Linked DNA regions of Diceros bicornis minor. The protein of the gene in region 1 interacts with the protein of each later gene in a biochemical or structural test. Links are inferred from orthologs where the notes say so. Each region holds a gene or a part of one and is shown on either strand. Other genes may lie near its edges.

Region 1 (15,997 bases):
GAAGAAGCTTAAATATCTGGAATGTGTTATGAAGGAGACCCTTCGCCTTTTCCCCTCTGTTCCTTTATTTGCCCGTAGTCTTAATGAAGATTGTGAAGTTGGTAAGAATTCTATAATCAGAATAATAGGGAGAGTGGATTTTTTAAATGTCTGTCTTGCTCCATTCTCATGGCATGTTGTCTACTTCTTGACAGCAGGTTACAGAATTGTGAAAGGCTCTCAGGCAATCATCGTTTCCTATGCACTGCATAGAGACCCGAGATACTTTCCAGATCCTGAAGAATTCAAGCCAGAACGGTTCTTTCCTGAGAACTCACAAGAACGCCATCCATATGCATATGTGCCCTTCTCTGCTGGACCCAGAAACTGTATAGGTTTGTATCCATCAGAATTGTTTTGACCTTTCAGAATCACATGGTAGTGGGTTTCCCACAATAATTTGTTTAAGGTATAGTCTGCCATATGCAACAGTCTTTTAAAAAACTGGTTCCCTTTTTCCTCCGCTCTATATTATATTATTTCCTCCACTATCCATTATTGTTTTCAAATATGACTGTCATAAAGTATAGTAGTTTCCTAGGGCTGCCATAACAAAGTACCACAGACTCATCTCCTCCTGTATCTCCACATGGTCTTTCCTCTGTGTGTGTCTGTGTCCGAATCTCTTCTTTTTATAAGGACACTAGTCAGATTGGATTAGGGTCCATCCATATGACGTCATTTTAATTCAATTGCCTCTTTAAAGGCCCTATCTCCAAATAGTTACATTCTGAGGTACTGGGGTTTAGAACTTCAACATATGAATTTTCAGGGACACAATTCAACCCATAATGTAAAGCATAATCAGTTTCATGGTAGGGTTTAAAAATGTAGATTTTTGGGCCACCACTACTGGTGGCCTAGTAGTTAAGTTCAGCGGCCCAGGTTCGGTTCCCAGGCGCAGACCTACACCACTCATCAGTGCCCATGTTGTGGTGGTAGCTCACATACAAAAAGAGGAGGATTCGCAACAGATGTTAGCTCAGGGAGAATCTTCCTCAGCAAAATAAATAAATAAATGTTGTAGATTTTGGATTAAAGTAGAATATATTTTATATGGTAGAAAATTTCTTTATGACGATTAGTTATATTTAACCTAATTTCTGTGTTTGTTGCTTTTACGTATTGCATTTTGCAAAACCAAAACAAAGAATGCTTCCCATAAGGCCAGCTGAAGTACTTAAACAAAATGAATGCACGTCACCATGCATTATAAGCACTTCTGACTTTAGTATCTTTAGCATTTTATCATTTATGTAAATACAGGTATTAGTAAAATGAGGTCAGATTTAAGTGAGTGAATCTGAAGCATATTTGGTGACTTTATAGTAAATTAAATTAAAGGCCCAATAAGAAATCAAGCCAGAGTAGTGGCTTTCATGCTTCAAGGAGCCCAGGAGTCATCTGGGGTACTGCTAAAATACAGATTCCTCGCCCACCGCAGCTATTCAGAGGCTCTGGCTGGGAGTGGGGAAGGGCACCCAAGAATCTTCATTTTTAATAAGTATCCCACGTGATTTTGATTCTTCCAGGGCCTACTGTGAAAATACAAAATTGCTTGCTTCCTCTAATAGAACCTGTACTTTCTCACATTTGAGATATCTCTGTAATTAAAGTGGTGGTATTTCCATTAACTTGAAGGTCAAAAATTTGCCCTGATGGAAGAAAAGATCATTCTTTCCTGCGTCCTGAGGCATTTTTGGGTAGAATCCAACCAGAAAAGAGAAGAACTTGGCCTGGCAGGAGAGCTGATTCTCCGTCCAAGTAATGGCATCTGGATCAAGTTGAAGAGGCGGAACGTGGATGGATCCTAACCATATTATTGGACTTATCATGCGCTTATCATGAAAAAAGTCTTTCTTTAAGGGAAACTTTGCATTTACAATTTAGAGATCGTGAGTTCAGCACTCTTAATCCCTAGACCTAGTTTTCTCTTGTCCCCACTTACATCGGGTTCAAGTCTACCAGGGAGAGAGTTTTTATGTTTTCTTCACCACCATAGGTCTTACCCCTGATCTTGATCCCAGAAGTACAGTTAACTGATGACAGCACCCAAATAAACATATAACAAGTGTCTCAACAGAGGGATCCACAGGCTAATTCAATTTCAATTGACAGACCCAAAGGATATGATTTAATTGAGGTTCCAGAATTTTTGTAAGGTATTCTTCTTGGCTCAGGAACATATATATGCATATATACATATACATTTAATGTGAAAAGGGTGATTAATTAAGGACTAAGACTTAAGGAGGTTAAGTTTTTTAAATTATATCAGTGGCATCAGTTATGAGAGTAATTATTGTGGTACTTTTCAGATTTTATCACCTAGAGTTGATCATTTATAAGTTGATTCATAGGTTCTGTTCCTGTTTCCCTTTTGACTGTATACTTAGAGCCTTCATTTTATTTTTTATAGCATCACAATTACCTTTATATGTAATATACTATGGGGAGAGATTCCTCTTGGTAATCTCCAGTCCCTCACAGTGCTTCAGGGGGCTGATTAATGGCTTTTGGAGCTCAAAGGACCTTGGAGCTTATCTAGTTATACTCCCTTTTTATTAGAAGTGAGGGAATGAGATCAATGAGAAGGTAAGATTCTGCGCAACGTTATGCCACTCGTGGGTGACAGGGCTGGAAATGAATAGCAGTCTACACTCTAAATCTCTCCACTCCCAATATGACACACTTCTATTATAATATACTATTGCTTTATGGTACTCAGGTCTATCTCTAGATGTGTCATTAGAACACAGATTTTCTGCCTCTGATTTTGGCGTATTTCTTCTAGAATTCTTCCATCTAAAGGAAAAGAGAAGCCATGCATCTATATTTAGTAACCCAGTAATATCTCACTTAGTTTAGAATTAGGCTTCCAGTAAATTCAGTCCTTCAGAAAACACCTATCAAGCTGATAACTGATAGACATTCCCTAAATTTTACTTCTATAGGCAATATCTCTACTTCTTCAATCAGTGACTTAAAAAAATTCTTTTAATAAATAATTTGATAAAATTGTTTGTTCAATTTTCCCAAGGCTATAGTAGATGCAAGCAACAAATTAAGAGGATGGAATATGTATTCTTCAATGGATATCAAAGGAAGAGGTTATAAAACCAAAGCCATTTGGCAAACACTACAGGCTGGGACATTTAGGACGGGGTCAGTAGCTCAACCCACTTTACCCAAAGATCCCAACCCAGTGAAGACAACCCAGTCCCTAAGTTGATGAGAAAAAGTAAGGGAAGTGTATGTTGCAGTTGAAAAAGATTCCCCTCATGTGGTTAACTTTGTTACCCAGAAAGTGTATATATGTAGAAAATCTTGTTCCCAGATGACTTTGGACAATTAAAGTTTTATTCATGGAAATCGGTGTTATTTCTCAATTTTATGCGTGAACATTAAAACCTTGCCTTTTTTTTGAAGTGACCCTACACGAGATGTGAAATTAAATTTAAATTAAAAGATTGCTTAATGTTCCCTTTTGGCCTAAGATTTTCATTTAGCACCAGAATAATTGGTTATTCATGTTTTAATTGGAAATTCACTTAAAACCATGTCAGAGTTGGAATTGAGAAATTATGTCATGGTGTATAGTATTGAAATGCAGATGTTGATTTTTTTTTAATAAGAGGATGATCAAATATCTTTTTGTTTCCCTATTACGTGTCCTACACCTGCTCGAAAGAGGTATCTCAAGAAAAATAAATTACATTTTCAATATGGGTGCTAGTTTTTTGCTAAGAATTGATGTCAGTTTGAAATATAAATAATTTTAGTGGTATTCTAGATATAACACTATAATTCTCACTGAGATGCACTGGAAAGAGCAGAGCCTCAAGTGTTACCCTTCTTAGGGACATTTAATGATCTAGAGATGCAAACAGCAGAAATCCTTCATGGTCATAAAGGCACCACCAAAGACCTTTCTCAGTGAACTGGCATTCGCTCCTTAATGGGCAGTACAATATAGCTTTTGTTCATCTGTTTCTTTCCTGGTGGGCCCATCTCCTGGCCACACAGCAGCTTCATCAGAGAATCAGGGCTTTTTCCTTTTTTTTGAAAACCGCAGGTTCTCTTAAAGCTCCCGGATCTCTGCCCTGCCTGTGGCACATCCTCCCACCCAAGCTCCCAGGCTCCATTAGGGACTCTCATTCGTTCCCTCACCTCAGAAGTGTCCAGCTCCAAACCCCTCTCTCCAGGCCACTGTCACTTCAGATAAATGTTACCTTCTATCCTAGTGTTTTTTTGCTGCCTAACAAATTATTACAATCTTTAGCAGTTTAAAACAACACTAATTTATTATTTCACTGTTCTGTAGGTCAGTAGGTGGGCTTAGCTGGGTTCTCTGTTTAGTATCTATCTCACAAGCCCAAAATCAAGGTGTGGAGGTTGTGGGGAAGAATCTTCTTCCAAGTGCATTCAGTTTGTTGGAAGTAATCGGCTCCTTGTGGTTGTCGGACTGAATTCTCCATTTTCTTTCTGGCTCCTGGCCAGAAACCTCTCTCCTAGAGGCCACTGCAGATCCTTGTCCCAGGCTCTACCCATCTCAAAGCCAGCAATGGAGAGCTTGCCTGCTGTCAAATCCCTCTCACACTTTGAATCTCTCTGACTTCTCCTTATGTAACAGCAGAAAGAAACTCTGGGTTTTTTTTTTTTTTTTTGGTGAGGAAGATTGGCCCTGAGCTAACATCTGTGCCCATCTTCCTATATTTTATGTAGGACGCCTGCCACAGCATGGCTTGACAGGTGGTGCATTGGTCCACACCCGGGATCTGAACCTGTGAACCCTGTGCTGCCAAAGCGGAGCTTGCAAACTTAACCACTATGCCACCGGGCTGGCCCCAGGAAACTCTGTTTTTAAGGGCCCCTGTGATGAGATCAGGTCCACCCAGATAATCTCCATTTTGAGTAGCTCAAAGTCAACTGTTTAGTAACCTTAATTACATCTGCAAAATTGCTTTTGTTGTGTAACATAACATAATCATGGAAAGACAGGGTATCTCATTTTCTTCAGTCCCCTGGATTAGAGAGGGAAATCTTGGGGAGTATTTTAGAATTCTGCCTACCACTGCTTGTTTTCAACTTAATTCTGATTTAGTTCTTCTGATTCCACAAGGAAATTTTTAGTTTTAGTGTATTGCTAGAACATAACTTATGGTTTCACTGTAAGAAAAATTCAAACAAAACACAGAAGTATGTTTAAATAGGTTAAAATCTGTAATCTCACCTTTTAGGGAAACAATCTCTGAGCGTTTCTGCCATGATTTGGAGGCAGGGTAGTTTCATCTCAGTCATCTTTTTTTCCTGTCAAGGCTGGTAGCAGATGAGATGCAAAATTTAAATTCTTGTATACTGCACAGGGCAGAGGACTGCCTTTTGTTGACTGCTGCTGCACCAGTCGATACTCTGAATCTAAAAGGCAGTACAGCAGGCATATTTGAAATATGTTACTTCATTACGGTCAAAAAATATTTTATTGACAACATTATCCTACATTTTTAATAAAAATAGTTCCGCAGTGCAGTAACGTGCGTTAAATATTTAAAAATCAACTCCCTAAAAATCGAATTTGCTAGCCAGAACAATGTATCACAATTTTGAAGAATGGTTCGAAAACAAAGGAGATTTAGTGGGCAAATGATTATGGTCTCTAACTATTTGAAAAAGCACAAAAAGAATAAATTATTTTGTGTGGATCTAGTAAATTCATCTAGGACTGAAGGATAGAGTTGCAAGGAGGTCTATTTCAGTATATAGAAAGGCTTTTTCTTAAAAACAAAATAGAACTCCCTGAGCAGGAACAGGCTCCTGGGAAAATCAGTATGTTTCTTTCCAGTCTAAGTATCTATGCCAGGAGTGCTATACAGCAAATTTCAGCCTACTTTGTCTGAAAAGGGCCAGATGGTAAATCTTTTCAGCTTTGCAGGCCACACTGTCTCTGTCACAACTATTTCATCTCTGTAGTTGTAGGTGAAAACAAGCATAGATAATACATGAATGAATGGGCATGGCTGTGTTTCAATAAAAGTTTATTTACAAAAACAGGCGCTGTTTTTGTAAACAGTGCCAGATTTGGTCTGTGGACTGTGGTTGTCAACCCCTGCTACATCATAGTTTCTGAATTGGGTGGGAGGAGGACCTAAACATCAACCAACTCCCTTCCATACTTAAAATTTCCATGTTGCAAGATTCTTTGTCTGTGGTATAGGAGGGCATAGATACTATTGGACAGAAGATCCTTCCAGGGTAAACTATCCATACCCCGACTTTATTCAGTTGTGCATCTTGGTGATTATAATGGAAAAAGTCCAGTGAGATGAGATTTAATTTGCATGACCCCAAATAACTGGGAATATTATGAACCTTTAAAAAAATGGAAACCTGTGGATGAATTGTATGGCCCTAATGTGAAATAGTTAGTATATTAAATAGCTGAACACAGGAATGGAATGTTCATAGACTATGTTGAGAGGACAAAAAGTTGAAACTGTTGGCAGAAAACCAAAGTCAATATCAGAGCCAAGCAAACAGTGCCTGTGGTGCCACATTAGGAAAGCTTGAAGATCGTCCATTTTTAAGTGGCAAGAGACTCTTCTGTCCAGAATCACGGAAGCAATTGTGCTTTCAGGTAGAGAATTTCTGTTATTCTGATTTCTTCCAAATAGCGTGTTTTTTTAAAAAATTAAGTATAGTTTTTACTTTATGAAGAAGGATTAATTTATGTTCTAATTTCTTGCATATTTAGAAAGTGTGGAAAAAATTATGTTCTTACGTGTGGAAATATTTGTGTGTAATATATTTTAAAAGCAAAGAGAATATTAACTCATTTAAAAATTTAAAATGAGCTTCAATGGTTTCAAAGCTTTTTTTTACTTAGGGATTCTGGACCGATGTCACTGCCATTATTTACGATAATTTTTTTTTGCTCAAATCTAGAGGTTTTACAGCTGTTTAATCCCTCTCAACCAATTACTGACAATACAGGTGGCTTATGAACAACAAACATAATAACAGTCTAGAGGTCTCAATTTATAGCTGGTGCCAAGCCCCTGGGCACAAAATGTACAGAAAACCCTTGTTCTTAGAATTGGTAATTGTGTGCTTAGATTTGCAATTCAGACATTTACAAGAAAATCTCTATCATCTTAAATTAAAGTTCATGCTAAATATGATCTATAACCAGCAGAGTTATTCATGCAGTGCTTTCTCTTTTAGGATGATTTCCTTCAGGCAAGCAGCTTATTTCATTTGCTTGTTTGCTACAGTTTCCTGTGGTGAGTGGATTATCTACAAAACATAAAGTTAAGGGTGTGTGGAAGAGAGTTAAGCAAGGCATGCCACCCGTGGAGAAAGCTATTGAACATACAGCCTTGGGAAGGAGGCAGGATACACATCCTTTTAATGTTTGGAGGCAACAACCACTTCTCAGATGCATCGCCCTAGACACACCAGGGGGAAGACCCCAGAAATGAGAATGTCTTCAGGCATGTGTTACCAGAAACTTCTGTTTGGAAGTGGCTCTGTACAAAGCAGATCCTGAAACAATCGGCGCTCCATTTTTATTATCAACATTAAAAAAAAAATCAGCTTTATCTGAATATTCAAAAGAGTGCTAGGCATTTTATATTGTCTGGGTCTAACCCAAGTGTAGTGATAGGTACAAAGCATATATTTTTACTCTTTTAGGCCACTGGGAACCATTTCAGAAATAAAAATACCTGGTTTCAATTTAATTTGGAAGTCATCCATTTGAATAGTTCTAGTTTCAACAACAGGTTTTGATCGTATTTCTCTGTCTATCCATTCCATCAAATTTTCAGAGAATAAGGAGGATTCTGGACACTCTTTTTCGTTAATCATTGCAGAGTGGAGTTTTCTCCGTGTCACCGTTATGGGTGGCTTCCGAGTCTATGTTGACTTAAGATGGCCACATCACAATGATTGTTTACTTACCTCTCAGATGTATGGCTAAGAGAAACACCTCTTGGGTAAGGGTTACATTGGTAAAGAGATACAATTTCTTCAGGAAGAAGCCTTTTTTTTTTTTTTCCCTAAACTGCAACTCCCCTCCATCTGTCGTCTCATTCCTAATTGCTCTTCTGCGCCAGAATCATTACCATTTACAAATCCATTGAATGCTGAGAAGTAGAAGCCAGAGATGCTGTGGACCATGGCTACTTCAATTTTATTCTTTTGGCCAAAAAAAAATTTCATGATCACACTAGGAAAATTAGAGGTGCAAATAAGCAGAAAATGAGAAACTACATATTTTCTGTAGTCCTATAATACAGAAATGGCCATTGTTAAAAATCTTTTGTTTAGTCTTTCAGATATTTTTCTACACATATCGATGTACACAAGTAACAAAGATATTATTAATTATAGATACTTTTTTTATAACGTTTCCCATTTAAAGCTACCTTTTCATGCAAATAAATATATATCATATTTTTTGGAGCTTAGTATTCTTCCCTATGCATGGTATTTTTGCATGCACATTCTTACACACATATTGAATTATTTCTGTGGAATAAAATTTTGGAAATAAAAATACTAGATACAAAGGTGTGAATATTTTTGAAGGTTTTATGACATACAACATGAAATTATCTTCCAAAAAGGTAATTTCCAAGTTGACTTTTTCCACTAGTAGATGAGAGTGATCATTTACCCCACCTAGGCCAACTCAATAGTCACTTATTATTTTGTAGCCTGGCATATATTCACCTTTCTGGAAACAGTATCCTAATTTATTTCTGAGAAACAGCTGCCTCCCAGTTTTGGTCCATGTGGTTGTGACCCAGGCAGGCTTGAACCAGTAAGTAAGGCACACATCTTGCTGGCTGCATTGACCTCATCAGAGCCAAAGCCTTGCAATAAGACTTTTGCTTACACTTCTAGAAATAAGACTCTTTTATTGTTTTTTTTCAAGTGAACTCGAACTATGACAGAATGCTGAGACCTGAGCTTCGGGCACTGTCTTTCCACTACATGGAGCTTGAGAGAAAGGCAACCCCATGGAATAGAGCAAATGTATGAAGGAAAATTGTGTCTTGATGGGATCCGCTGAGCACTGTGTCCAGTTATTTCTGAAGCCAGATCCACCCCCAGCTCTTTGGCTTTGAACCAATACATTTCATTTGTATTCAAGTCACTTTGAACTAGGTTTTTTTTTTGTTATTTGCAATGAAAATCAGTACATCGACACTGGTAATTTAGATAATTTTAAATTTTAACTTGCCTGTGTTTATGATTCTTAGCATTTTTCATATGCTTATTAGTTGCTTCTATTTCTTTTGCAAATTACCTTTTCATATTCTTCGCCCAATTTTAAAAAATTAGATTCCTTTTCTTCTCTTTATTGATTATATGATCTTTTTAACAAGACTGAATAACTTGCCAAGGTCCATGGACATAAGGACTTGTGTGACATGATATAGCATATTTTATGTTATGAGATAACTTATGTCACAGTGTTTTCCATATACTCTAGAATACAATACAAACAAGCCTATCATCATCACCATCATCATCATCATTAGTACCAGCTTATGAGGTTAAGCAAGAACACCTATTAGAACTTTCTTTCCAGTCTGCTCCAAAGTTGCTGTATTTCTAGTTACTCCTCTCCTGGGCTGAATCACATGGCAGTTCATCAAGGCTCAGTTGCAGAATGGGAACTCCCAGGCTAGCCCCAGCCATTGTTTGTACCCATGTCTGTGAATTGAGGTGGGGGAGGATGGCTGCTTGATCATCACGAATCAGCCAAAAACACCGGTTGTCTAAAACACAAGCCACTTTGCAGCTAGCCTTGTCACCGGACCAGGTACTCGGTATGTTGTGTGTTTATGAAATGTAGGCCTGTGTACCTGGCAACTTGTATTCCCAGAAGCTTCCACCTGAAGAGGTCTCTGCTCTTTCCAAATATAAACCTTACCCAAGGGTTAGTCATCTTAGCCACACCTTTGAGAGAAGGACAAGCAATCTTGCTGGGCTGGGTCATCATAAGAGGGCTCAGGGCCAAAATCCCCAGAGGGGTGGAATAGTTCAGAGGAAGTTTTAATCAACAGGGCTTAATGAAATACACGTATCCAAGCTGCCCATTCTCTGAAAGGCAATACAAAAATAGGTATTATTAAAATTGGAGTGGCACTACTGCCCTAGGGCATGGATGAGGTTGCCATTGCAATATCCTGTGATTAACGGGCAGTTGACCGAGTAAAGCGAATGTGTTATCTGAGTTGGAAAAGCTTATTAAGCAGACTTTGAAGTGAGTCTCTCAAGGTTAACTCAAATTCAGTATAACAGTAAAGGTAACACTTAACACTCTAATAATATGTAGGATGCTGGGTACTTTAGAGCTATGAACAATTCCAGACAGCAAATATGTAGTTCAGAATGTATCTTCAATTTGGTGTATGCATGCCTTTGCTTAAGCTGTCTGAAAAATGAGCTTGTAGAAATTGAGAGAATACTTGTTTCTCTGCACTCATTCCTAAAGTAATAAATACCAATAACTGTTAGTTTGCTTGCATTCAACTGAGATGAGGAACAACGTTGCACACTAGGAAACGGAACAAGACGGGGAGTCAGAAGAGCTGGGTTTATGTTCCAGGACATTCACCGGCCATGTGGATCTTGGGCAAGTGTGTGCTGCCATGAGACTGAGTTACCTAACTTCTTTCCTAAAAAAAAAAGTCAGATATATATAATAAAGACTGTCTCCAGATTCCCTTACAGAGCTGTTGTGAGAATCTGGTGGGGATGCTTGTTATGAAAGTGTTTTGAAAAATAGATCACACATCATTATTTTTAAGGCATGATATTTTCATTGCATGTTAGGCAACAGGGAGAAACCAAGCTAGGATTGCATTTTCTTTTTTTGTTGTTTTTTTGTTTTTTTCGTGAGGAAGATCAGCCCTGAGCTAACATCCATGCTAATCCTCCTCTTTTTTTTTTTTTTTTTTTTGCTGAGGAAGACCGGCTCTGAGCTAACATCTATTGCCAATCCTCCTCCTTTTTTTTTTATTTCCCCAAAGCCCCAGTAGATAGTTGTATGTCATAGTTGCACATCCTTCTAGTTTCTGCATGTGGGACGCGGCCTCAGCATGGTTGGAGAAGCGGTGCGTCAGTGCATGCCCGGGATCCGAACCTGGGCCGTCAGCAGGGGAGCGCGAGGACTTAACCACTAAGCCACAGGGCCGGCCCTAGGATTTCATTTTCTTGGGGATAATTTGTGTGCAAATTATTGTATGATTTAATAAAAATCAACCAAGTTTTTTTTTTATATAGAAGTACCCATAAAATGACTTGAGCATCATACATTGTTCAAATAGTCACCTTAATATGTTTCATTCTGCCTGTATAATTAAGGTCTTGTCATAAAGATCTTTGGGTATTCCATGGAGGAAGTAAAAAGGTTCAGAACACAGACACTTTTCTGATAATGTAAATTATTATTTGCATTCCTCCCAAATTAATGTCTTTTTTTTCAATGATGACATCATAGGATGCCTGACTCAACTATATGAAAACACCTTCTTCAAAGGTGGGGATGTAACTGCTATTTTCACCCCGAGTGCCCAACACTGTCAGATGATGTGCACGTTCCATCCTAGGTGTTTGCTGTTCAGTTTTCTTCCTGCAAATTCAACCAATGATGCAAACAAAAGGTAAAAGTTGATATTTCATTATTGGAGAAGCTAGTCATTTTTCAAAATGGAATCAGTTGTGTGCAAAAAAGTGTAGCATATCGCAGGGTTATGTTTCTCAAATGGGGTTAAAGGACCAGCTTCATCAGAATCACCTGGAGTAGTTCTTACATAAGCAGATCCTTAGGTGGAAGCCCAGACCTATTGAACGAAAGACTCTTGGGATTGGAAATCTGCATTTAAAAAATATCTGCATTCACTTAAAGTAGTAAAAGATAGTCATTTTCTATCCAAGGCCTCAAGGAAAATGCTAGAAAATCATTGGGTTAAGAGATTGTCTCAAGAAAAGGTCTAAAAACAAGTGAATATTTCACCTGAACAAGGAAGCATAGTTGTTGTCTGACTCATGATCACATTTGTGGGTAGCACAGTCCAAAGAAAATATAATAGAAGGTAAGCATTTTGTTGAGAATATGATTGAGTAAGATCCAGAGCTTATGATGCTGAGAGAGGGCAGGTCTGAATGGTGCCTACAGTGAGCCAATTTGAGCACCTATGATATGCGTGATGTGCGTGCACGTGTGTGTGCACTTGTGAATATAGACTATTAACTGGTAATTTGGAAAAGGAAGAGCACTGGAAAAATAATTGGCAATGAAAAATCTTATTAGGTCATAGAGTTGCCTAAATACAGCCATAGTTTCATTTTCTTTAATTTTGATCAATATCCAGAATGAGTGTTTCTTCATTGTTCCATTTCTATATCCACAATTCTTTTCTTTTATCTTCACTCTATTTGAATTTGAAAACTAGGAATTAGATAACCATCCCTTGATTCTACATGGTAAACTTGTACAGAAAACCCAGATTGTATGTGAGAGATGTCAACTTTTTAAGGAAAAAGGTGAGTTAGGTTCTAGAATCCTTGTGAATAATGAAATTACCACTGAGGTTGACATGAAAGACAGAAAGAAGTCTTCCATTAGGTGTGGACTAGAAGGAGTTAGTGAACGAGATGGACATCATATATAGATCCACTCTCATGACTGATTTAATTTCATAAGTAAGTGAAAGTATTTATGAAAACAATCACCAAGTAGGAACATAAATTCCCCAAAAGTTTAGGAACACAGGAAAAATCACTAACTCTTTAATATGATTGACTTCCTGTACTTAAAAATGTGAATGTATAGGAAAACAATACTGAAAGACCGTTAGATATTATGGAATAGCCTCTAAGAATGTTCTTTCCGGCAAATGTCAGGGAAGCTGTATTATTTTCCTTATTCCCGCCTATATTTATTAGTGCATAAAAAATGCTAGATGTTTCCTCAATGTGTGTTTATTTCACTTCCTAAGTGAAGCTACTTTTAAAAACAGGTTTGGTTGCTTCATGAAAGACAGTGTTACGGGAACGCTGCCAAAAATGTCACGGAAAAATGCAATTTCTGGACATTCCTTGAAGCAATGTGGACATAAAATAAGCGGTAAGATGTGGATTTCTTAGCTAAAGTTGAATGAACGAGGAGTCTGCCTTAGAAAAGCTTCTGCTCAAACTCTGTACTGTCATGGACTTTTGGAAGGGAGCCCTCAGAAAGAACAGAGATGGGGCAATATTCTGGACATATCCTCTTGTTTTTATCAATCAACACTCACTTAAGGAGCCTTTATTATTTATGAGGGTAGCACTACAGGTAAGATTTGCAGAAAGTGAATACCCATCTAAACAATAGTCTCCCCTTGATTCCAGATAAGAATCTTAAAGAGAACACAGAGAGTTCTCTCTTTCTGTTTCACTTGAAGGTGATTTGTACACCAGTGGTTCTCAAACAGGGGTGATTTTGTCCTTCCACCAGGGGGCACTTGTCAATGCCTGAGACACTTGGTTGTCACAACTTGGGGGGATGCTACTGGCATCGAGTGGATAGAGGTCAGAGATGCCACTAAATGTTCCACAAGGCACAGGGAAGCCCCCACAACAAAGATTTTCTAGTCCCATATGTCAGGAGTGCAGAGGTTAAGAAATCCTGTTAAACTCCCATGCTGAAGGACTGGGCTTTGTAAATCTTGCGAAGAATAATACTTAAAAATATATGAGGATTAGGAGGCCAGGAAACTTTAATCCTGACACTTATTGCTATTAACGTCTTGAGAAACAATTTCCAACCCTATTCTAATAAATTTAAGGCAAATGAACTATTTCTCTAATGTGACTGATCTGAGAGTAAAAAGTACGGAAAAGATTCTCTCAATTGATGGGTTGGCAGAACCTTAAAATAACCATGTTATCACTATACATCATTGTTATTTTACCCTTACTATATACAGTTAATTTTGTAGGATTAAATTTCAGATGTTTTTAAAATTTTTCATCCTTTCCTGTCCCATTAACACCACTCCCTCAATACATACACACACTTCGTGCCTGCAGTTTGTATAGTAACCAGTCCTTGGTGATAAACAGGGGGACCTGGCTTAGCCAATATGTAATTTACCTAGGAAGGAGTACATTTTCTATTTTATAAGATCAAATTTATATCTTAATAAAATTTAGTGTAAATTATTCAATTAAGCATTAGTTTCAATTGTGGCATCATAGTAAAATTTAAAGAAAAAATAATATTGTGCCTTTCTCATTACACCTTAGTTATTTTTTCCCCCAAAACTTAGTCTACTCACAGAACTTGATTTAATGTTCTCTTCTAGCTCTCCCCAAATATCTTACATTAAAGTGAAATTAAAGTGAACTATTGCTTCCAGGCATGTAAAGTCTCTTAACTCAGGACCGATTTTGGTTTAAAACATTTAGGGGTAGGTTTATAGCTTTCAACTAACCATAAAGAAACGTTTTAGTTTCTAAGTATCCCAGCCCAACTCTTAGCCTGTTTCTTTTTCTCATGTGCAGCAGAAAGGGAAAGAGATTCCATTTCTATAATCAGCAAATTCCTGTGAGCATGAACCACCATGAATAATCTACAGCCCTGCCCACCTCAATACGTTGTTTTCCTACTAGTTTGCATATTTTCTGTAATTCTCACCATTAAATCTAGTTTTCTGACTCCTTAAACCATACCTCTTAGGATTGGAAAATTACATACAATAGATTATGGTTTATATTGCTAGTATCCTTAGCCAAGGGTCTAACTAACAAATTTGAGTCTTTAAGACAAAGAGCCTAACTCATTAATTTGGTTCATTGTCTGTTAAAAGAATTACCTATATTTTTTGTATATAAGACAAATTTCAATTGAAAGGATGCTTAAGTGGAATTTAACAAAATTCTAAAGCAAGAATGGAAATGGCTTCATCATGCATCTACAAGAACTCTCCACATTTTATGATAATGATTTGACACATAGATGTCAATGACGGGGCTTACAGATGCAAGTCGCAATCAGACAGGAGTAGTTGAAAGTTGAGAAACAAGCAAAGAGATGAGAAGCTCCTTCACTCCACGCAAGAGGTCGAAGACACCTCCGTTTGTTTAATAATGCAAACCTCCGCACACGTCATTAGGGTCCTCGTTATTATTGCCTTGTTTATCTTCCATTGCTCGTTGATAATTTCAGTGTGAAATATTACCTGTACTGATGAAGTTTTGAAAGCACAGTAACCCCTTTTCCATGCTAGTCCCTAAGACATATTGGAATGTGTTTATTTCAAGCAGAGTTTGATAATTTAGTAATGTAATAAAAAATCTAAATCCCCTAATTAACAGGGAAATTGCCAAAAACAGAATATTATCCTTCAAAACTGCCCTGCTCAAACTGATGATGTACTTCTAGAAGGGAAACTGACTGAATTTGTCCCATGTGTTTTATTGGTACAGCTTGCCACCGAGACATTTACAAAGGAATTGATATGAGAGGTGACAATTTTAACCTATCTAAGGCTAATAGTGTTGAAGAATGCCAAAAACGCTGCACGAATAGCATTCACTGCCAATTTTTCACATACGCCACACAAGCATTTTCCAGTGCAGAGTACCAGTGAGTAAAATTTATAATGTTTGTTCTCTCTGATGGTACTTTTAGGATTTAATTGTATTCTTCATAACCTCTTTTTTTTTTTTTTTCAAATTGAAAACCAAACAGGACTTTTAGACCTAACAACCCTCCTTATTTACTTACTCAATTTTGGTATCATTTTTCTGGAAGAGAATGGTTTCCATTTGGACCACAGATAGGCTGTGCTTGTAGAATGAGGGTTTAGTAAAATAATGTCTCCCACCCCGTTCTCACCCTAACCTTCCCTCTGCAGGGGGGAAAGATGTCTATTTGATTAATATACAAACCCCTGAC
Region 2 (16,483 bases), on another chromosome or scaffold:
GCTTATATGTGTTAAGTCCCAGCATTGACACTGCCGCTTCCAACCCAGTAACTGCAAAGCTGCCATCTTCTTTCTCCAGTCTCTTCGGCACTGGCCAATACCAAAGACAGCCCCGTATTCATCGATTTCTTTGAGGATACTGAGCTCTACAAAAAACAAGCTGACAAAGCCCTTGAGAAGTACAAGAGGGAGAATGATGATTTTGCCTCTTTCAGAGTGGACAAAGTGGAGAGAGTAGCCAGAGCGGTGAGTCTCCACTCACGTCCAGCTAGAGTCTGAGGGCCCAGACTCCAGCCTGGCAGGCGCAAACTCAGCAGCACTGACGCTTTCTACCGACCTCATTTGGGCAGCTGCCTCTCAAATTGAGGCACCTGTTGCAGCCTCCACAGACAGGCAGCAAATACCAAAGAACTGCCCTCCTGCAGTTTTTTATTTTTTGGAGTAGTGGGGAGTGTGAATAGAGGGGAGGGAAAACCACAATCAAGAAAGAGGGAAAGAGGGCTGGCCCGGTGGCATAGTGGTTTAAGTTCGGTGTGCTCTGCTTCGTCAGCCTGGGGTTCGTGGGTTCAAATCCCAGGTGCAGACCTGCACTGCTTGTCAAGCCATGCTGTGGTGGCAACCCACATACAAAAAATAGAGGAAGATGGGCACAGATGTTGGCTCAGGGACAATCTGCCTCAAGCAAAAGGAGGAGGATTGGCAACAGATGTTAGTGCAGGGCCAATCTTCCACACACACACACACACACACACACACACACACACAAAGAAAAGAAAGAAAGAGAGAAAGATAGAAGAGCATATTAGGGTTATGTGAGTCATTAAAAATCACCTGGTCCTGGGGCAGGCCCCCATGCCTAGTGGTTAAGTTCAGCACGCTCCACTTCAGTGGCCTGGGTTCGGTTCCTGGGTGTGGACCTACACCACTTGGCTGTGGCCGTGCAGTAGCGGCAACCCACATACAAAGTAGAGGAAGATTGCCACAGATGTTAGCTCAGGGTGAATCTTCCTCAAGCAAAAAGAGGAAGATTGGCACAGATGTTAGCTCAGGGCAAATCTTCCTCAGCAGAAAAAAAAAAATCATCTGGTCCTAACCTCCTTGTGTTATGATGGGAAACTGAGGCTCAGAGTAACTACCTCACCATACCCAGTGGTGTGGCTGGAGCTAGACAGTTCTCCTACCTCCCAGTCCAGGGACCCAAGCACCTCCCACCCAGAGTGGTATTGCAGAGCAGCTAGTTGACGTGTGTCACGCATTTTGAAAATGCAAAGTTAAATAGATTATGGTGCATACAAGCAATGGAGTGAATACAGTGCAATTACTAAAAAGAATGTTTTGGACCTACATGCATTAGAAAGAGTTTCAAGACATATTGCAGAGGGAAAAAGCAGATTACAGAACAATATTTAGTCTATGAGCCCGTTTATGTCAAATAATCAGATATATGTGTATATGTGCAACATATTTAGGTAAAGACTAGAAAGAGAAACACATCAAACAGATGATAGTAGTGTCTTTGAGAAGGAGAAGGTGGAGTGCAGGAAGGGTGATTTTTCACACTATGCTTGATTATGTCTGTATTATTTGAAACTTTTCAATGAAATAGTATTCACCTTATTACGTGGTAAATTTTAAAAAGGCAGAGACCATAAGAAAAATGGCACATATTGGTGATTTTGAATCTTCACATTACTTTACAGTATATTAGATAGTAGATATCAATTAAAAAAATTTTTTTTTGCACTTTTCATCTTCCTGAAACTGCTTTGATCCAATCTGTTCCAGAGAGGAGGGGAAAGAACCAATTACTATGTGGACTTCTCTGTGAGGAACTGCTCCATTCACCATTTTCCCAGACCCTCTAAGGTGAGTAATGTCTGTGAAATACTAAGTGACATTTAGAGAGTGCTTACTGTGTGCCAGGCACACTTATAAATGCTTTACACTTATGTTAACTTATTAACTCCACCACCACTCTATGAGGTAGATACTATTTTTATCCCTGATTTACAGATGGGGAAACTAAGGCACAGAAAAGTTAAGTGAATCATGAGAATATGATTTTATAATATACATGATATATAACTAAACTTAAAACTAAGTTTCTAAACCCATTAGGATTAAAGACTTTGCTAAAACTGATAACTAGCTTATATTAAGAACCTACACCCAAGGGTGCTTTCATTCACTGCATCTTGTTTACTCCTCTCAGTGACCCCATGTGACAAATGGGGAGGTAACTGAGGCTCAGCAAAGTAAGGGTCTTGCCCATATTCACAACCAAGCTGAGATTAGAATTCAGCTCTCCTGTTCTCAGCCCACTGGAATTTTCCCCCTAATCATTTATAAATTGATACTCAAGAACCTGCAATAAGATCTTAATAATATTCAGCATTTTTATGGCGATAGTTTACAAAACACGTTCACATACATTATTGCCTCGTTGGAGCCCCGTGACAACCCCCCTGAGGAGAAGCAAGTGTCTGCCCCCATTTCCCTGGGACAGGAGGGCCTAGACATTTTACCACTTGCCTAAGGGCACTTAGCTAGAAAGTGTTAGAACACAGGATCTGAATGGTGGCCTTCTGATTTCGAGTCCAGGACTTTTCTGAAGTTTAACAGCACATTCTTCAGGGTCGGAAGAGAGGAAGCATTCATTAGTTCATTCTTGGGCTGTTCAACTTTTCAATCTGAAGCAGTTCTAGGATCCTGCTTAGTGGCTACCACAAAAGACATCTCCCTCCCCCTTTCCCATCCCCAAAAAACACTTAAATATCTTTGCACGGGTAATGAAAACCCAGTGCAGAAACATGGCTGCTGGAGAAGAGGCATCTCAGTGCTAACTGTTTTACAGTATTATCTCATTTAATTAAGTCCTCCCACAACCTGTGGGCAGATAGTTTTACACCCATTTTACAGATAAAGATTGAGTTTCAGAAATTTTAGAAATTTCAACTTGCCTAAAGTCACACAACAAGTAAATGGTGAAGCGAGGATTAACATAGGTCTGTCTGGCTCCAAAACTGTACTCAGAACCACTTAACAATCTCTTCTGGCAAAGAGTTTTCTTCTTGTCCTAGTCTAACTTTGACAGCTGGGTTTAGGGGCCTCTGGAGCACAGGGTTGCCAGCTAGTTGTAGCCCCTATACTTAGAGTAGGGCCAGTTGATGGTCACTTTGATGGGGTCCATGCAAACCTTCTTTGTACTGGCTCCCTTCTTTCCAATACTTTCCTCCAAAGAATGGGTTAAAGTTGTGCAAATCCTCTCCTATACCACTCTTCCTTCTCTCTAGGCACAGGTAACTCAGGTCTTCAGTGCAGAAGGGTTGGCCTAAAGGCAAGGCATCAATGACGTGGTATTCCTCACTACCATCCGTGGGGAAGCCCGGTGCTGGTGGTCACTGGGGGAAGAGAACCACAGCAACTTGTAATGAAACGCTTTGGAACCTGCACTTTCCCAATAGTATTGACTAGGAAAGGTTGTTAAATAACTGGTGGAGATATTTGATAATATTACCCAGATTTTTCTAAAGTTTTTCTCCTTTCCCAAATGTCTGGAAGTTCATAACTCTAGCTGGGCACCTTCACACCACCTGTGCATGCACACACACACACACACACACACACATACACACACATACATACACTAACAGGCTTCTCTTTTCTTTATAGGTCTTTGGTTTCTGCAGAGCAGTTTTGTCCTATGAGGTAGGAGTCTCTGACTTGGAAACCCCAGAAGACATTGTCGTCAACTGTGAAGTTTTCAATTTTGAGGTAGGTTACCTAAGTAGCCTTTTCATGAGCAAGGCCAGCCTAAGTGATATTCTCACACACATAGTGTATTTTGTTCTTGTGGTTCTGTGTGTGGGTGAGAGAGAGAGAAGGAGAGAGAGAGAGAGATGAGATGGGGTGGGTGGAGAAATACAGACAGTAGGACCCTGGGGAAAGGAGTGCAATTTCTAGTGTGACACAAAAAGTATAAAAATTTTTCCAGAATTGAGGAGGGGTAAGATTTTGCAGAAGAGTAAAGTCATGACCAGCTAACCTTTAATGAATTTGAAAATGGCCTTTGTAGTCAGGACTCCAGTGCTGCGACTTCATAATTCTTAGCTTTTATTATTAGGCTTAGAACCTAAGGGAAATGAATTAGCCCCAAATTTATTTTATAAAGGTATATAAAATAAGATGCAAAACAACATTTTACATCTGTCCCAGAAAGCTTTGTTCTATACCAAAATATTCTTCACATTATTTTTTTATATCAGCAAAAAAACTTAAAATAATTCAAACGTCCATGTGCCAAACCAAAAAAAAAGGGATCAATTTTGTCACCATGAACACGGCTCCCTAGGTTTTTTAAAATATTAAAATCTAAACAAGGAGGAAAGTGAAGGGGTGAAGTGCTCAACCTTTAGAAATAAGAGACGCTTATATCACAAAGCCTCAGACTCTGTTGAGAATACGAATTATAAGGCACTAGTTTTCCAAATGTTGGTCTACAGATGAGTGCTATTCCATAATATAGTTTCACCACTTTATTTTGAAATGAGAAAAATACAGAAAGTTTTTCATAATATAACATTTATTCCATCTAAGGACCATCCTTTACTCTGAGATTATCTTTCTGACTCTTGTGTTGTCAAAATAGTATTCCTTTTGTGATATAATGATGGTGGTAGGTGATAGTTTTTGTCTGTATTTTAAATGCCAACTTGGCTAGATAAAAATTGAGAACCCTTTTTTGGTACTTTTAAAATTGATTTGGGGAATCCAAAAGTCTGGAAGCCATTGGTCTAAATCAAGTTAAACATCTAACTTCTTTTGTGTTGCATGATAATATTCACTTTTCTGTGTCCTTTACTAGGAACATAGATACATCCATGGTAAACGACCCCATTTGGGCCATCCCCCCCACTCTGGTGGGCATGAGCATTCTCCTGCTGGCAAGCCTCCATTTAAGCCAAATGGATTCAGGGATAACCATCCACATGATCTTGGATGCCCACCTCCTGTTGAAGGCAAAGATTACTCAGACAGACCACCAGTTCAAGCAGGAGCTCCTCCACTATTGCCTCCTTCAGGGTCAAAATGTCATCACCCCCATTTTGGCACCAGTGAGACAGATGGACCTCCTCATAACCATGGCGAGCACCCTCCTCATGGACCCCCTCCCCATGGACCCCCTCCCCATGGACATCCTCCTCATGGACCCCCTCCCCATGGACCCCCTCCCCATGGACCCCCTCCCCATGGACCCCCTCCCCATGGACATCCTCCTCATGGACCCCCTCCTCATGGGCCCCCTCCCCATGGGCCCCCTCCTCATGGGCCCCCTCCCCATGGACCCCCTCCCCATGGACCCCCTCCCCATGGACCCCCTCCTCATGGACACCCTCCCCATGGACACCCTCATCACGGACACCATCACCATGGACACCATCCCCATGGCCATGGTTTCTATGACCATGGACCCTGTGACCCACCACCTCACTGGGGCCATGGCCCCCCACCTAGGCACCCAGAAGGAAGAGGTCCAGGTAAAGGACACTTTCCCTTCCATTGGAGACAAATTGGATATGTTTACCGACTCCCTCCACTAAAGAAAGGTGAAGTTCTTCCTCTTCCTGAAGCCAATTTTCCCAGCTTCTCATTGCCACACCACAAGGATCCTCTAAAGCCAGAGATTCAGCCCTTCCTTCAATCAGCCTCTGAATCATGTCCAGGGAAGTTTAAGAGTGAGTTTCTACAAGTCTCAGAGTTTTTTGCATCTACTATTCCAAAATAAAATCTGATTTCCTTGATGGGTAAAAATGAATAATGTTCTGAATTAGAACCATAAATAAAATGTGACCAGTAATAAATGCAAAATTAGAAGTTATTTTAACCTTTTTTCATACTCAGGATATGGCAAAATGTGGGTAGGGGAGGAGATGGCATGAGAAGAGAGAGACAAATGGAAAGGAGAGAAAAGATCTCAGTGATACAAGTCAGAAGATAATTCTCTCACTGGCCACTACATCTCTTGAGGCAAATCTCTGAGCCTCAGAATTTCTTTCTTTCCTGGACTTAACTCTTAGTTCTAGAGTATTTCCTCTATTAGTACTTATACTGTAGCTGGGCATAACAAGAAGGTATATATTATCACTTAAAGATTATTCTTATAAAAGTGATCCATATTCTCTCCTACTTGTTATTTCTAGTCCTCCAAATTTCCTTTCTGAAAAATCAGTTCTAAATTCAATTATGAGGCAAAAAAAGTTGGGTTATAAATTGCAAAGAAGGTTGTAGGCATGAATCATGACCACAAATTCAGGTGCACAGGAAATATCGCTTTATTTTAGGAACAAATTAATTTCTATTTCAGGTTGCCATCCTACTGGGCTAACGGGAAACTCACTCTCAGTCCTTCTTGGAGTTCCCCCACCCTGCTACTCCCCACACAAAATTATGTCACAGTTCTAGACTCTCACACAGTGCCAGGGTGTTTGGTGGCGGGCACAAGAAGGAGGTCTGATTCTTCATCACTGGTCCACAAGGGCCCCCTGCTTACTACCCTGTTCACATCGCTCTTTGGGTCTAGTTTATCTGCTACTTATGTATCAAACTGGGGATATATGAGTCCCTGTAAAACTGCTCACGGATGTGACTGCCAAGAGATACCATATAGCTCTTCTCTCCCCGAGATCATCTGCCTTCCATGCTACATGTCCAGAAAGCAGGGCAGAGGTGTCCTCTGCTTCGGGACCCCCAGACTCCTCTGTTTTCATCTCTTCTTCCCAGACTAGGGGCTCTCTAGTCTCAGATAACTTCTCTTTATTCATTTTTGATGCTAGAGGACTCTTTTTCTACACCTTAATCCTCTTTATTTTCCCTTCTTCCCAAATCAGGGCTCAAGCATTCAGACACAGTCTAAAAAGACTTCAGGTTCTCTCTAGCTGATTTACTGAAGCAGTTTCAGATGTGTGGTGATGGCAGAAGGTGGATTTTAGTGGGGCGGGGCTCCGGGGTGGGGGGCGTGGGTAGAGAAAAAACTAAGGGTGAGAAAGACTTGGATAAGTTCTTAGGCTGGGAAGAAGGAGGGGTCCAGAAAGATGGAGAAGTTAAACCTGGGGAAGTTAGGATGTGATTGATGGTGCACGGTCCAGAAGGAGTTGGAAAGGAATGCAAGGCTGATCCCGGCGAGTGTTTCAAGTGAAGACTCAGAAACAGGACTTGGCAGTGTATATAGGCAGGATAATAAACAGGAAAGAATATGATTGGGAGGAGGCCGATCTGGATTCTAATCCCAGTCCCACAATTTACTGACTATCAGATCCTAAGAAGGTTACTAAGCCTCTTTGGGCCTCATTTTCCTTCTCTAAAAAATGATGACGGTGGAGGCCCATTTCCCTTTCCTCTTTGGAGTATGGCTAGACTTCATTTCCTGGAGCCATGATGATGACACTCCAAATATTTAATAACCAATATGTCACAAGCATTGACCCATCAGACCAGATACAACAACCAGTCAGGACAGTCGCCAGCCATAAACAACCAGAGTGGCACCAGCTGAATGTCGCCCTGCAGACTCACATTCCTCCACATGAATACAGGGTTGACTCCTTGAACAGGGAACCGCGAAAGGTGAAATCTGGGAAGACCAAAAAAATACTTAGGTTAATAAGTCACAGAAGCATTTGAGTAGTGCTTTATAATTTATAAAGTATTTTCACAAACATTGCTTGAGTTATTGAAAATATTACCTGGAAAATATAGGATTGAAGGCTCTCAATTCATTACAATTAAATGCGTTCGTAATATGCAAACACAGTTGCCTCAAGTGAATAACAGAGTCAGAAACAATTCCTACTCTGGGGAGCTTACATTGTACTAGAGGTTGCGACAACATACCATTGATTGCTCCTTTTCTAGATTTTTTTGCTACGTGACAGCTAAAAAGTATATGAATGTTTGTTAGAATTAGTAAATTGTGGGATTAGAACCCAGATTGGCCTCCTCCCAGGTCATTTTCTTTCCTGTTGATTATCCTGCCTATACACACTGCCAAGTCCTGTTTCTGAGTCTTCACTTGAAACGCCCACCATGATCAGCTTTGTGTTCCTTTCCGCCTCCGTCTGCACCGTGCACTGTCAGTCAGGCCCTCACTCTCCCAGATTCAGCTTCCCCGTCTTTGCGGGCCCCTCCTTCTTCCCAGCCTAAGAATTTACCCAAGTCTTTTCCACCCTTGTGTTTTTTCCCCCCTATACTCAGCCCTCCACCTCCCTGAACTCACACTGGAATCTACCTTTTGCCATCACCATGACCTGAAACTGCTTTAGTAAGTTGCAGATTAACCATCCCACTCTAAGTTTAGATATAATTTATGAGGACTAATTAACAGGCCCTGCACATATATTATCTCATTCACTCCTCAAAAAACCCTGATGAGACATTATGACTTTCTGCATTTTACAGATGAGGAAACTGTAAGCAGAGAGGTTACATGACCCTGACTTGCTCAGGATCACATAGCAATTAATTAGCACAGCTAGATTGGAATCCAGGTTGGATTTACTGGCAAGCTCATGTTTCTGCCACTCCACTATAAGGCCACCATTTAGCCCACAGTGATCCCTCTTTTCCAGGGGCTTTCAGGGAGACTGAATGGCAAAGCAAGAGACTCTATCAACAACAACAAAGCAGTCAAACGTCTTTTTTTGCAGGAGAGGGATGGTTAGACTTGAGGGCAAACATCTACTAAGGGCTACCCTAGACCTCCTCTCCCCGAACAGTCTAACTTGATCAGAAAAGTTGCTTAGGCTTGATGAGTGAAAGACACTCATATCCACCAAACCAGAAACAAGAAGCAAGGACAGAGGATAAGGGGCTTCACTCAACCCATCTCTTATGCTTCTCCCCTGTCTCCTCTACCCTGGGGAGCATTTTCCTTTCTAGAACTAATACAGTTGAGTGGAAAGAAACTGGCCTGGCCAGAGACCAGATAGGACGCCCATATTTTATTTTTAGTTGCACCAGTGTCCTGGTGTAGGACTCACAGGACTCACTGTGTCCCTGTGCATGGGCTCCCCAGGCATGCAATATGATTGGTAGCAGCCTGCTTCTCTGCAGCTAGACATCCTGCAAAGGAATTTTATTGAAAGGTGTCTGCACATGGTACTCATTGTTGCATTGTTGTCACTTGTAGTGACCTTTGTAAATGACTTTGGGAAAGTCACAAGGCAATGACAGAGGTGGTTGGTGTTTTTTTTTCTCCTCCTTTATTAGAGTCTGCTCTGATTTGCTATACAAAGTTGTGCAATCACCTGGAAATGTGCTCTGTGCACCCACATGCTTCTCAAATGCAAACAAGCAGGTCACTGACCCCTGTGTTGTAATAGTCCAGCCTGAAATCTTCTTGGATAACCCAGCAGAGCCATTTGTCCTTTTGGAATAGGGCAAATAGTGTACGGCAGCAGGAATCCAACCAGTGCCCCAGAGCGCTGAGGCAGAGAGTGGAGCGCAGAGGAGATAAGAGGCTGGAGATCGCTAAAATCAGCATTCAAGTTGGCTCCCAATTCTTGGTGAAACTCCCAAAGGGAGACTGTTAAGTCATGAAATTAATTGCCATCATTTTCCTTTGCTCCAGGCTGCTACTAAGTGTAACCCAGGAGTCCTTGCAAGAAATCGACTGCAATGATGAGGATGTATTTAAGGCTGTGGACACGGCTCTGAAGAAATATAACAATGGGAAACAAAGTGGCTACCAGTTTGTGTTGTACCGCGTCATGGAGGTCACCAAGACGGTGAGTGGGCTGGTTGAACCTTGAGGTCATTTGGGATTTGTGCTGTCGCTCAGAGCCCGGACCTCACACAAACACACACACACACACACACGCACACGCCAATCACCAAAGAACTGATAATTAAAGGAAGAAGCTTACAGCTCTTATAAAAGACTGACACCACTCTCCGGCCTGGGGGTGGAGGGCACGGTATGACTAGTGGTTGGGCCACCAAGGTTAGCAGCCTGGGAGATCAGAGGAGCAGTATCCCAAGGTGAAATGAAACAAGGGTAGATGGAGTAATTTGAAAGAGACTATGCAGAGTGGGAGAATCCAGGAACTCAGTCAGGCTGCAGCAAGAGGATTTACTGGGTGACTGGCCCTAGATTGAAATATAAAGACCTCCAGAGCTAGGGTGGGGAAGGGGTGCTTAAGGGGGCACGTCTAACAAATATTGCATTATCTCGCTTATATGTGGAACCTAAAAAAGTTGAACTCACAGAAACAGAAAGTAGAATGGTGGTTGCCAGGAGCTGGGAGGTGAGGGAAATGGGGAGATGTTGGTCAAAGGGTACAAACTTCCAGTTATAAGATGAATAAGTCCTGGGGATCTGATGTACTGCATGGTGACTATAGTTAATAATACTGGGCCCGGCCCCGTGGCTTAGCGGTTAAGTGCACGCGCTCCGCTGCTGGCGGCCCGGGTTCTGATCCCGGGCGCGCACCGACGCACCGCTTCTCCCGCCATGCTGAGGCCGCGTCCCACATGCAGCAACTAGAAGGCTGTGCAACTACGACATACAACTATCTACTGGTGCTTTGGGGGAAAATAAATAAATAAATATTTAAAAAAAAATAAAAATAATACTGTATCGTATACTCAAAATTGCTGAAAGACTATATCTTAAATGTTCTCACCACACATATAAAAAACACAACTATGTGAGGTGATGGATGTGTTAATTAGCTTGCTTGTGGTAATCATTTCACATTGTATACATATATCAAATCATCAAGTTGTACACTTTAAATACATGCAATGTTTATTTGTCAATTATACCTCAATAAAGCTAGGGGAAAGGGAGGGGGGTACATCTAAGAGGAGTCAGAAGTGAGATTACCATGGTTCTACTGCATCAAACAAAATATCTACTGTGAAGTCTGCACAGCTGAATGCATCAAAGGTGACAGCAATGTTCTAGTTGGTTTTTAATATTTTTTTCGCTGACTGATGCACTCCTGTTGGAGACAAATCTTGATAGGATGTGTGATTTCAAGAAATACTAATCTTTCAACAGTTTGTTTAAATGAATTTCGCTGTAAAACACTGTTATCTCTGTGATAGTTAAGCAATTGTTTACTTTGGTAGAGAAAAAAATCCCCCCATTTGACATGATGAGGATAAAGAAAGAAGCCCAGTGGACATGTTTTTTTTTTTTTTTTCTGAAAGTAAAATGGAGCCATTCTGTTTCACAAACTAGTGTGGTCATGTGAGTCCTCGTGCTGTCAAGCCACAGTTTGTTGTTGTTGTCTTTATTGGCTGACATCCATGGCAAATGTGGTTTTTGTTCTAAAAGGTCTGGAGAATCACTCTTTATCTTTGCTTTTGCCATGTAGGCACCACCTATACCACTATCACCTACTGCTTTATCAAAATCTGAGACCTAGAAGGAACCTCAGAGACTACCTTGTTTGACACCATCATTTCTCGGATGCAAATACTGTGACCCACGCAGGCTCTAAGAGAGCACTGCCTCGGGAGTCAGGAGACCTGTGATCTGGGGCTGGCTCTGCCTTTCCAAGGTGGGGAGGCTGCCTAAGCCGTGCCCTATCTACTCGGGGCCTCCTTTCTTTCACCTGCAAAGTGAGGGGCTGGACAGCATCGCCTCTCAGGTCCCTTGCTGCTCGACATGCCAGGATTTTGCATCTGAAAGCTCATCTAAGTCAGCACCTTCGCACTTTAAGAGTTTTGTATATTATTTCATGACATGCTAGAATAAATAGAAAACAAACAAAGCAAATAAAAATACTAAAACTACCCATAATTATCCCCACTGTCCAGAAACAACTGTTAACATTTTTTTCAAAAATGAATAAAGCTCTCTTTTTCTTTGTTTTCTAATTGTAAAAACGATATATGTTTGTTAAAAAGAATAGACAATTCTGGAATGTTGGTATAAAGAAGTGAAAGACAACTGTACTCCCACCACTGAGAGACACACATTTTAACAGCTTTGCTGCATAATTTTCCAGACTTTTAAAAATCATACATTTACATATAAATTGGTTTCCTTAAAAATGGGCTAATACTATGTATACTACTTTGTAACTTAAAATATATGTATTTGTAAATATATTATGAACATTCTTCCAAGTAAATATTTATAACTTTCAGGATTTTTAATAAATGTTTTGCCTTAATTGAATCAAATCAAGATCAAATATTCATAACTGCACCAGATCCCACTCCAATGATTTTCTGTTGGGTCAGTTGGATGAACCCTACGTATCTTTGGTTGCTTTTTTTCAGGATGACCCTGACACATTTTATTCCTTCAAGTACCAAATCAAGGAGGGTGATTGTCCTGTTGGAAATGGCACAACCTGGCAGGATTGCGACTACAAAGATTCTGAGCAAGCTGTAAGTATGTTGACAGTTCCTGAGCCTCCAATTTTCTCCGAGCCTGCTAGATTATTCTACTGGTGCTTTTGGGGTGATTAATATTGCTGAGTCTGTTTGTGAGGGATGCACATAAACCCTCAAATGTGTAGACAAGTCAAATGCTTGATGTATTCTGCATAGAGAGAAAAGGCGTGGAGAAGCCAGTGGTTAAACATGAAGTAAGCCCACCCATAAGAAGGGGACTCTAATGACCAGTTGGGACATGTGGACCAGGCCCCAGAGAGACAACAGATCAGCATTTGGGCTGAGATCGAGGCTGGTGAGGGGAGAGTGTAGTGCTTCAATTGAACAGGCCTGAGTACAAATCCTCATCTGCCTCCAACTAGCTGACCACTGGGAACCCTGTGCTCTCTTATAACAGGGACTTAAAATTGACCTCATCAGGAGATGAGGTTGTTGGAGAATGAAATGATCCATTATGCAAAGGACCTTGTTTTAATAACAGTGGCTATCTTAACCAGATGCCTAACATGTGCCTGGCACACCACAGCTGGTTGTCTCGCCTTAATTAAGGGAGATTGTAGGTGGTATCTGCCAGGAAGCAAGCCACATGTTTCACAGTCCATGGAATCACCTCTTTAATGTCAAAACACCGGCATGTGTACGCAGTTTGAACACTGAAATTGACAGGTAAATCAAGAGAAGAGTTTGGCAGGCTGGTCCTAAGGCGTTGTGTACATTTTGGTGAAAAAGAAATATGTTCAGGGCTCAAAACAAAGACTCACGCTTTAAAACCTCACCATTTATACTGCCCTTCCTCCAACATCTCCCAAATATCAATGGATTCTAAAAAATAATCATTAGGCTACAAAAACATTCATTCTTGTGTCTCAAAACTCTGTTAGAAAAAACCTTGACAATTTAAAAAAAAAAGGAAAACCATATTTAGCAAGAGTATTAGGTGGACTTCTCCCCCTGAAAGATTAAGGTAAATGGTCTCCGGTTTTTTCTTTTTAGGCCACAGGAGAATGCACAGCGACCATAAGGAAGAGTGAGGATATGAGGTTCTCCGTGGCTACCCAAACCTGCCAGATTACTCCAGGTAGCTGATCCATCCGGTGGCTGGAGGGGAAAAAATGAATCATTTCTGTGTGCCAGGAACACAACCCAGACCAAGTCCCCTCCCAGAGGGCAGCCATAGGGGTGCCATTTGCAGCCTTGGGGGCGGGGGGCTGGGAGGGTGGAGCCGCAGAGTCCGGAGGTTGGGGCCAGGCTTGTGCCAGTCATCCCCTCAGCCCTATCCTGACTCTCTTCCTCGAGTGCAGCATTGTATTAGGTGTGTGCAAGGGCCCTGCAAAGGTGAGTAGATGCAAAAACTGCCTTGATTGGAGGCAGCATCCTAGAGTGAGGAAAGCACGGGCTTTGAGGTCGGACCTGGCCTGGAATCTTTCAAAGCTCCTCACCTGCTTGGCTTTCCTCTTCCTTATCTATCAAAGAGGATAACAGTAATTCCCACTTCATGGGATTGTTATAGACTGAAACTAGATGATATGCCTGAGGGTACAATCATCATAATGTGTGAATGATGATCAGGATGAAAGTAATCCTAGCTAACATTTATTAAGCTCTTATTGCCAGCCACATTCTGATCACTTTCCATGTATTAACTTATTTAATCCTCACAACAACTCTATGAAGAAAGTATTAATATCCCCATTTTACAGATGAGGAAACTGAGGCCCACAGCAGTTAAGTATCTGACCCAAGATCCCACAGCAAATAATTAGCAGAGTTGGTATAGCAGACCCTCAATAAACAAAATTCCTTTAGAATAAAGTATGGAGCAACTTATCACCAACTATAAGCACTATTAGCTCCTTCCCTTTTGTGGCAGAGGTGCCAGTTACAGAAGAATGGGCACATCTAGGTGATGTCAATCATAAAAGCCGTCCCAGAACTGGCCTTCTGCAAGGTAGGGTTTTAGTACATGAGGCTCCATAAGAGCATCTCAGTCACACTATTGAACCTCACCGTAGTGGCAGTTGTTCCATTCTGGCCTTCGTCATCCGTATAGAGCCCACAAAAACTATATCCCTTGAGTTCCAGTTCTTGCAAGAAGTTGTAGTCGAAGAAAAGTGGAAAAGAAATCACAAGTAATTTAAAAAAAATTTTTGGAGTAGCTTTTCATTATTCAGTTTAATAACTCTATCTCATAAGCAGATTTTAACAGTATCCAGAACACAGCACTTCTACACTACGAGAGGAAAAGCCCTTTGCCATATTTTCAGAAATTACTACGAGGTCCACAATCCCTTATCTGAAACCCAGATTTGGCCAGATGTGTTTCAGAATTTGACATTTTAAATCTTTGTTTTAATTAAAAATCATCCCTCTAGAAATGTTGGAGCAGGGTGAAAAATCATTCTGTCACCCAGAAAAACTGACTTTCCATCACCCTCCTCCCCTCACCCTCAAAAGACTGCTTCATCTCTTCTCTTAGCCCCGGTCAGAGCTGCCCTGGAGGTCAGGCAAACGAGACTCTGGTCTTTCCTCCATCTCATCTTTCACCTCCTGTGTTCCATCTTTTTTTTTTTTTTTTGAGGAAGATTGGCTCCATGCTAACATCTGTTGCCAATCTTCCTCTTTTTCTTTTTTTTTCCTCCCCAAGGCCCCAGTAGATAGTTGCATGTCATAGTTGTAGATCCTTCTAGTTGCTCTATGTGGGACGCCACCTCAGCATGGCTTGATGGGCTGTGAGTATGTCCACACCCAGGATCGGAACCAGCGAACCCTGGGCCGCAGAAGTGGAGTGCGCAAACTTAACTGCTGCACCACAGGCTGGCCCCTCCTGTGTTCATCTTTTTTTTTTTGGTTCTTCCATCAGTAATTCTCCTCCTTTCCCATGTAACCCTCCATGTTTTTGACTTTGCCTGTTAGCCTGGTTCAACATAACTTCTGCAGGGAGAGGAGGGGAAAAGCTGTGAATATTCACCTAGCAAATCTTTTTCCTGACACACACACTTACGGAGAGAAAGCCAGAAAGGAGTTGCAAGTGCAGCCGTGTTGACCTGCAAAACTGAGGGACAGTGTATAGAACACTATTGGCCCCCTCATTCTGTGTGGATCTTACACACTCGGGCAGCAAAACCCCTGGGGGAAGGGGCCCAGGACTCCTTCACTACCTTCCCTGTCTGGCAGCCTGTGCCTCTCCCGACCAGCGGGTGAGGGCTATCTGTTATGAACATTACTTGGTAATTTAATATAAACTCACTTCTTTTTTAATATTTTACATGGTTTTATTAAAACCCCTTCAGGGCTGGCCTGGCGGTGTAGTGGTTAAGTTCAGTGTGCTCCGCTTCAGCAGCCGGGGTTCTTGGGTTTGGATCCCAGGCACAGACCTACACTACCCATCAAGCGATGCTGTGGTGGTGACCCACGTGCAAAATGGAGGAAGATGGGCACAGATGTTAGCTCAGGACCACTCTTCCTCAAGCAAAAAGAGGAAAATTGGCAACAGGTGTTAGCTCAGGGACACTCTTCCTCACGAGAAAAATAAGTAAATAAAACCCCTTCAGTGGCTCCCCTTTCTTACAGCAGACCATTCTTAAATCACTTCAGAGGGTCTATGAACACCCTGAAACTACGTGGAGAACGTTGTGAATGCGCATTTCCCTGGGGAGGGCACCATAGCTTTCATCAGCTCCACCCAGGAGTACATGGCCCTTGAAGTATAGTTAGCGACACCAGGCATCCAGGGTGGGGCCCAGGCTCAACAGCAGAGGACTCTCTCTACCGACTGTTCAGACCTCAGTCACCCCTCCCTGCCTCCCTCTTTAAGCTCTGGCAAAATGTGTATGCACCGCCTTCCACACTGCTGTCCCTGCCTCATCCTGCTTTCTCGGGAGCCATCCGTTCCTCCTCCTTAGACCTCACACCTCATGTTGCCAGGTTGTCCTGGACCACTCTTCTCTCTTCTTAGCTCAGGCCTCGTCTCCTCAGGAAATTCTTCCCTGAGCTCACTCCAGGCTCCCGGCTTTCCAAGCTCTTGTCGCATTATATTGAAATGATCCATCTGCAAGTCTGTCTCTCCCACTAGACT

Evidence for each region.
Region 2: the proteins of KLKB1 (region 1) and KNG1 form a complex in vitro, tested with the Homo sapiens proteins (4 studies listed by BioGRID). The link is inferred for Diceros bicornis minor from reciprocal best matches to the Homo sapiens genes KLKB1 and KNG1.

The regions. Positions count from the first base shown.
Region 1 is NC_080768.1:17,718,236-17,734,232, forward strand, and holds the start of KLKB1 (plasma kallikrein), read left to right. Parts: upstream 1-7,213; coding exon 7,214-7,319; intron 7,320-11,554; coding exon 11,555-11,717; intron 11,718-13,076; coding exon 13,077-13,183; intron 13,184-15,525; coding exon 15,526-15,685; intron 15,686-15,997. Other genes in the region: cytochrome P450 4V2, read left to right, coding at 1-101, 195-374, 1,681-1,853. UniProt on the Homo sapiens protein: Participates in the surface-dependent activation of blood coagulation. Activates, in a reciprocal reaction, coagulation factor XII/F12 after binding to negatively charged surfaces.
Region 2 is NC_080754.1:37,316,964-37,333,446, reverse strand, and holds the start of KNG1 (kininogen-1), read left to right. Parts: upstream 1-9,478; 5' UTR 9,479-9,590; coding exon 9,591-9,782; intron 9,783-12,291; coding exon 12,292-12,402; intron 12,403-13,401; coding exon 13,402-13,486; intron 13,487-16,483. Other genes in the region: HRG (histidine-rich glycoprotein), read left to right, coding at 80-246, 1,786-1,866, 3,673-3,774, 4,865-5,785. UniProt on the Homo sapiens protein: Kininogens are inhibitors of thiol proteases.